2 linked regions of the Kluyveromyces lactis genome follow. The protein of the gene in region 1 binds, or shares a complex with, the protein of each later gene. Links are inferred from orthologs where the notes say so. Each region holds a gene or a part of one and is shown in the gene's direction. Other genes may lie near its edges. The genes, in order: RAV1 and RAV2.

Evidence for each region.
Region 2: RAV1 (region 1) and RAV2 share a complex: the UniProt entries of both Saccharomyces cerevisiae proteins name them as parts of the RAVE complex. The link is inferred for Kluyveromyces lactis from reciprocal best matches to the Saccharomyces cerevisiae genes RAV1 and RAV2.

Annotation. Positions count from the first base shown.
Region 1 is NC_006041.1:2,021,659-2,026,102, forward strand, and holds the start of RAV1 (Rav1p), read left to right. Parts: upstream 1-1,450; coding exon 1,451-4,444. Other genes in the region: PET191 (Pet191p), read right to left, coding at 767-1,093. UniProt on the Saccharomyces cerevisiae protein: Component of the RAVE complex, which is required for stable assembly of the vacuolar ATPase complex V-ATPase under many conditions.
Region 2 is NC_006040.1:1,586,181-1,589,522, reverse strand, and holds RAV2 (Rav2p), read left to right. Parts: upstream 1-1,566; coding exon 1,567-2,634; downstream 2,635-3,342. Other genes in the region: ubiquinone biosynthesis protein COQ4, read right to left, coding at 191-1,189; SPC19 (Spc19p), read right to left, coding at 2,669-3,130. UniProt on the Saccharomyces cerevisiae protein: Component of the RAVE complex, which is required for stable assembly of the vacuolar ATPase complex V-ATPase under many conditions. May be required for transport between the early endosome and the late endosome/prevacuolar compartment (PVC).

The DNA of each region.
Region 1 (4,444 bases):
AAGCGCGGCAAATTTAAAAAAATTCGGGGCGAGCTGGGAATTGAACCCAGGGCCTCTCGCATGCTTTGCAGTAGTTAAACCTCGTTTAACGAGGTTTGGCTAAGCTATTAACCCAAAGCGAGAATCATACCACTAGACCACACGCCCTAATAATTGTTGAGGACTTAGTTTCAGAAATAATCGACCTACCTCTAGGAGCTTGTAAGGTGTTTATATTTTGATATAACCTTCCCAGAACTAGGAGCCTATTCACGAAAATAGCACTTGCATATTATCATGTCACTCTATTCCATACTGCAATATATCTCAACTTAACAACCCTCGGGTTAACCTGAGACAATTTCCGGGTTTTCTTGCAGGCGAGTATGAAATGAAAATATGGCTATTAGTTAAATATATGCATACCGATACGTATATTAATCGAGTGTTTTCCTAATGTCAATCTTCTTGTGTGGTAAATTTATGACATCTGTGCATAGCTTCGTACAACCTACTAGATAGCCATTCCTTAAAAGATATATTAACCGAAAGGGTATAGTCAAGTTTGGTATTCTTGGAACAAGACGATTTCAATGAGGCAATGCGTTAACAAAAGGGTTTAGAATTTGGATTGTAGAAGAGCAGCACACGGCAGAGTATTATTTACAAGATATGGTGTGAGTTATCCAGTTTTATGCAGGAGCGACAATTTGATGATGAAATGTTTTGAAGTAAAAAAAGAGAATTGAAAGAACAGAAACACGCATAGCAAAAGGGATTGTATGCCTTAATTCTTGCTGGCACTATCTAGTAACTTCAACTTCTCATACTCTTCCTTGGCGTTGAAGTCTCCGGTAGATAGCTTTTCATATTGCTCATCGTACTTTCCCGTAGATAACGCACCGTTGCCTCTGAATCTTTTGGTCATGTCAACAATACCACGCTTACAATCCAAAAATGCTTTCATCTGTGCCATACAGAGTTCTGGTAGATCTTTACTCAACTTAGGATCTTCTATGCACTGCTTAGGAGTGTTTCTTTCGATGAGCACGCATGGCGATCTCTGCAAACAGATAGCAACAGCTTTCCTTTGATCGTTACAACTGGCACCCATTTTTTTGGTATATGCTTATGATTAGCTTTTTCTATTATTAGTATTCTTACCAGCCCTTGAATAAATTCCTCTAGTAGCTCCTATATAGCATGAACTTCTTTGGATTAAAGACCGATGACCTGTATTTTGTCACAATGATCACATCTTTTATTAAAGGTTCTTTCTTAGTCTCCAGGAAATACAGAAATCGTTAACAATGACGATAGAAAGCACTATACTTGGAAATGAATAATACTAAGGTTAAATGTTCTACGCAGACCGAAAGGGCATGTTATGTAACTACATAGCACCAAGTCTCTGAAGCTGTTGCCCTGTTAGCTGGTATTTGAAATTAACTGTGTGCACAATTGGGTGTAAATGACATTGAGTTTCCTCCCCGGTGTGCCTAATAGTACTCCTCAAGCAGCTTGCCAGCGGTCATGGAACCATAATACCATATTGGCATACTGCTCTGGTAACAATCTAATATTGCTTTCCAATCGTTCTGAGCGGCTTCAAACAATATATTTGAATTCAGATTGTCATGCTGTCGATGTTAATCCTCGTAATGGTCTCATTGCTGTTGCTGTTTCTCAGGAAGTGTACATTTACAAACCGCTGCATCAAATCATGAAGAACCCTAAATGGGTATTCTGCTGTAAAGTGTACCATGATGATTCCCGCGTCAACACCTTGCAATGGGGTATGGGGAATGAATTAGTATTGGGATCAGATTACCTATCGTTTTGGGATGTAAAGGATGTTTTTGGCGAGTACAAACCTAGACTATTATGGAGTAAAAGACAACCTTTGCCAGTTTATCTTTGTTCAATAACTTCTGATTCTAAACTCATATCTAGTATGAATTATAACGATAGAACAGTGAAAATTTGGAGGCGAGTGTCAATAACATCGGATTCAGATTTCTTTGATCTGGTTATTCTCCCTCATCCAGATGTTGTGACCACCTTTAGGTGGAAAACAAACGATCATCAATGCAATAAAGAACATATTACGCATGTCATTTACACTTTATGTGCAGATAGAAAGTTGAGGGTATGGATCAGTTTTGATATTGACAATAAGAAGAATGTTCAGCAGTGGGGAACTGTGGAGATGTCAAAGTCCAATAACGAAAGATTTTGTGTTATTTTGGATAGCTGGTTAATCCAAAAAACCTTGAGAAAAACCATCAAAGACCAATCTCATCAAAGCGAAATGATCAAGTATATTCTTGAAAAAAAACCTGAAATTATTCTATTTACCACTCCCAGTCTCAAAATTAGAGTGTTGGCATTGACTAATCTTTCAGATGATGTACCGAAAATTATGTCGGTCAAAGATCTATTAAGAACTTCAATATCTAATACTGCAATGGGATCATCTCCAGAGTTCGTACATTTCCCTGAACCACAGATTTTTGATGATGATAAAAGCATATCTTTTGTTGTTCATGATCTTCATGGAAGCGTAAGGCATTCATTGCTACACATTTCATCAATTTTGAATGGAACAGAAACCATTGGTATACTACAGCATAAATGGACCGGACACACAAAATCCATCCAAAAGGTTTTTAGAAGTAGCTACGGTTCTGCTATATTGACAACATCGAGGTTCCAGGAAAATTCTATCTGGGTTCCATTGAGACTAAAGGACTCGGTTACGTTGTCAAAAAAGGCAATGCTAATATCTGAATCGCCAATAAAACATGCTTTAGTCCACGACAGAGGTAATCTGGTGGTAACTTTTCTAGAAAACTGCAAAGTGCAACTATGGGTGTGCTCTTCAAATGAGAAGAGAGCAATTCTTAAAAGCACTTTCTCTGCAGATAAGACGAAGGGGATCCCATCTATTATGGTCAATACTTCTGGAAACAAGCCACACAATGATCAGCATTTTTTTGCTTATGTTTATCCAGATGGTAGTTCCCAAGGCTTTGTATTCACGAAGGATGACATGAAACAGATAGATAGCAATTCTATTGACTTGGAGGGAGAAGAAGAGTTTTATCTTGTGTCCGCGATTGATCCGGTGAGATATCAATTTCAAAGTGACAGATCATTGATTGCCTCAATTACCAAACTCGGAGTAATAAGGATATATAAGGCACAGGCTGATCAGTCGGGTATAAGGTGGAAGAAGAGTTATGAAACCATTACGAATATTACTAATGCTTCGAAAATTACGGGATCGTCAAATGATAAGATATCTGTAATTGACGAAAAAGGTACGACTATGACTCTATGGGATTTGAGAAGGAGTGTCTTGGAGTACGAAACTACCTTTGATGACGAGGTTGTTGATATTGACTGGACAAGCACTGAATTTGAACAAAGCATTGTTGCCATTGGTTTCGAAAATTATGTCATTCTTTATACGCAACTAAGATACGATTATACGAACAGAAACCCTGCTTACTTGCCAATTGAGAAAATCAACGTTTCACAGCACACTACACATGCCATTGGTGACTCCACCTGGTTGAAGAATGGTTCTATCATCATAGCCACTGGCAACCAAGTTTTCATAAAGGACAAAAGCCTAGACTTGAAGGACAAATTTACGTACAGCTCAATTGGCTCTAGAAAAATCTTATCGAATGATATTTTGCATTTAACTAGTGTATTGAATGGTCCATTGCCAATATATCATCCACAACTGTTGATCCAGTCTTTATTTGCTAAAAAGGTCAACCTCGTAAGAGAAATTCTCCTAAAGCTTTTCCATGCGCTGCGCAAGATGGAATTCAACTCTGATGAGATTCACGATATTGGATCATCACTGAAATTAAGTCCTTCCAAGTTTCTTCATACAAACGATTCTACGTATGTGTTTGATAATTATGAAGAACCATATAGCACATTTGATTCGACTGTATCGGCTCCACTTATTGATCTCCTTTCAAAGACCCCTTTACCCTATCTCACTCGACATCAACAGGTGACCCTAATTTCTGTGATCGAAGCTGTTCAAGAGATAAATTTAAATGAGAAGGTTGTAGACATAAATGGTGTTAGATTTATGTTGGGTGTAAAATTGTACACATCGCATAAGAGCACACAGACAAGTGTCAACATGAGAGATGTCAGCTGGGCCACTCATTCCGACAATAAAGAGATTCTTTTTTCAAATCTTTTCAATAGATTAAAGAAATGGGATAACGTGAAAGAATTCAAAGTTCCGTATTGGGCAGGCCAGCAGGATCTCGTGAAATGTTTCGAGAATATAGCCAAATTTGAATTCAACAATTATGATAAAAGAGATCCATCAAGATGTTCAATCTTCTATCTGGCACTTAAAAAGAAAAGTATTTTAATTGGATTATGGCGCATCAGCTCTGGTCATCCAGAACAGGCAAAGATGTTAAAA
Region 2 (3,342 bases), on another chromosome or scaffold:
TATAGATATATTTTTTAATCGATCAAGCAAAGGCGATCTTTTTCCTCTTCAATTGAAGACGTTTATTTCATTACGTACGTATTTCTATTTCTTTTTTCCTGGTTCCTATATCCACAGAATGACCCTGCATTATACTTTACAAAGCAACTTTACGCCAGCCATCACGATTTGGGGATTGAGGGTTTAAAATTCATTTCTCGTAGGTCTCATACTTAAGCTTGAACTGTTTTCTTTGTTTCGCTCTTTCCTTTCTAATTTTTCTCAAATCTGGAGGTGGTGTGACGTTTAATTCTCTTCTTAGTTCGTCTATGTCCTTATCCAAGATTTCTTCCCAATAGACATTGATGAGAGGTTTGCAATTCAGCCCTGCTTTGACTGCCCATGGGAGGTAGATGGAGTAAAGTCTTTCCTTTTGCACTTTCTTTAATCTCAATGGTGCTAATAGAGCACCAAGTGCAGCCATTGGGACACCAATGTTTGATGCCTCAAATGCTTTAACTGCAATCTCACCTTCGATTATGATTGGTAGGTCATTTATTGCATGATAAAAGTCATGGCATTGTCTATATCTCTTAAATATGAAAGCATGGACAGGATCATCGATATAAGTAACTGGTGCCCTTGTGTCTGGAGAGACCCCCTCTTTCATCAACCATTTGTAGTACGTATAGCCAACTGAATTTTTATCCATCTTTGACAATCGTTCCATGTCAAGGCTTTCCGATGTGATGTTTGGTCTGTCTTGTAGAATCCTTCTACCAGTCTTATCTAACAACATTGTCCGTTTTAAACTTTCAAGAAAGCAAGGTAGAGCAGTAGCTTCTCCTAATTGAACGATGTTCTCACCGTTCTCCGGGTGGAAATAAGATTTTAAACCACTGATACCGAAGAGCATCATTCGCTCATACCACCAAAGTGGAACATGACCCTCATAATTAGGTTCTATCGGTCTTGTGTTTCGTAATGCATTTAACCTTTCTTGAGTCCTTTGTTCCATCTTATGCTCATACTCTCCATTTTTATTATGCAGATTCCCTTTCTCCATAGCATCTGCTAGTCTAACATCTTTCCCAATCAATAGGTCTCCAAAAGCTGCTATTGCAGTAAATACGATTGTTCTCTTGCTATTATTCAATGGACTGAAAGCGTTACGACTTGCTTGTAAGGATTTCTTACTTACAGTAAACATTTGCGGTCGTCGTCTGATGCGTTTAATAGCACACTTTCCCTAATAATAAAAAGCTGTGTCCCGGAGTACAACTCGTCAATTGAGTCAAATCTAGAATCTGTGTAAACCTTGATCCTAATCCACGCCAGCAATTTCAATTACAACCACTTTACAATTTTCAATGATCTTCCTTTATCTCTAGTTAAAGTATATGTGGGTGAGTCGCATCAACTTCAAGAAAAGGTTTAAATTTGAAATATTCAGAAGAATCATCATACGAAAAAGGCAAAAGAATAGTAAAAAGGTTGACAAAGGAAAACGCCCATCTTAGCAAGGCTCTTGCTATCTACACGCTAAGGGAGCTTTGCTACATTAATTCTCAATTGCATAAATCCGAGATGACTACGGAATTATATAATGATGGGGCATATAAAAATGCTCCTACATATGAGGAGAGCTCTTTGTTACAACAGACATGGTTGATTAAAGAAATCATAAAGCCTGAGCTACCTAACGTTATGGACCATGTTGAGAAATGCATAAACCAACTATCTAGTCCTGAGAAATTTCGAATGCCTCTTACCAATGGGAATAGTGTCTCCGTTAACACATCAGGTGCCGCGCCAGACAGCACATCGATTAAAGGGACAATCACTAGACAGGCCGGATTTATAGTGGATTTTCAGGCTATCATTAAGCTTCCAGACTTTAGCAGGGGTAAACCAATAGTTCTAAAGATGGACCTTGATAAACAATTTCCCTTAGTTCAAATAAATGCCATAATTACAAATTTATCATCCGTATTGTCCTTATTTGACGAATTACAGCAACTTTCCGAATTACACGATATGAAACTTGATGATATTCATACTTTTCACAATAAAATTGGGAAAATATTGGAGTTACTTACACAATCTATTACATTATTACAAAATCCTCCACGAGAATTGGTCTTTCCGCATAATAACAACAGCTTCTTAAACGACAACTTCTCTGAATCTCATGACATTTGTGAATCAGCACATCATTTGGTCAATATGGAATTAGTGCTATTCAAAAACGAGATTTGCTTGGACATTAGGAATTTGACAAAAGTCATTAAAAAACCCTGGAGTGAGATCGATTCGAAAACTGGGTTATCATTCAGTGATAAAGTCAGAGACAGGCTGAAGCAAGACAGAAATGGAAAAATCGCAGAGATCCTTAAGGAAGAAGGCTTGCAAGTTGAACAAACATCTATGATAAACAATTTGATATCCAGTTTTTCAGCAACTGAAAGAATCACTCTTCCGCAAGCAAGCGATCTATTGGCTAGGTGTGTGACATTTAACGGGCGAGTTGTCACTGAATGCGAGAAAGTTTCAATTACCACCAGCGATCCTACATTGATTAGTGTCAGTGCAAAGTTGAACGGGCTTGAAAACAAAATCAGCAATCACTTTGTAAATATTCAAAATTTAAGTTAACAATGCGATAGATAGAGAGTCGGCGTATGCTTATTTATCTCTCTTCATGCAATTCCTGTATTCTTTGTATCAGTTCTTCTTTACGATTCTTTAAGTCTTTGAGACGTTCCAATTCTTCATGTGTCGAGGATACTATTACAACTGGATCCGATTTCACATTATCTATGATGGGGTTACTTTCTTGATTGTTGAATCGTAGTTTATTCAATTCGAATGTTTGTGATAGAGTGGCCCGCTCCCTTTCCAATTTGGTTAGAGCTTTTTCCAGTTTACTATATAGTTTTTGTAACAATGGTTCTATATCCTCCATCAAATCAAGTCTGGCCCTCTGCACATCATATTCTGATACCAACTGGAATACCCTCTTAGTTTGTAGCATATTTATAGCAAGTTTAGTGCTTCTATCTGTAGTGACCTTAGATACGGTTAAACATTTCGCCATGTCATCGACACATGCTGCTAAAGCATCTACACCCTCCGAAAGTACCTCTTCCATTGTGTCAAATCAGCTCAAATAACAATGCCAAATTATCACAGTGCGTTATCCAATTACAATCCTGCCGATCTATGTGAAGTGTTGTGTTTTCATGTGTATGTTGCGTAATGTTTGTTTACCTCTTTTCTATGTGGTGAATTAAAATAATTGTGATTGAAATTAAGTCCATTCTTTTCTCAGTTTCATGATTTTAGTATTATCTTCACAGAAGT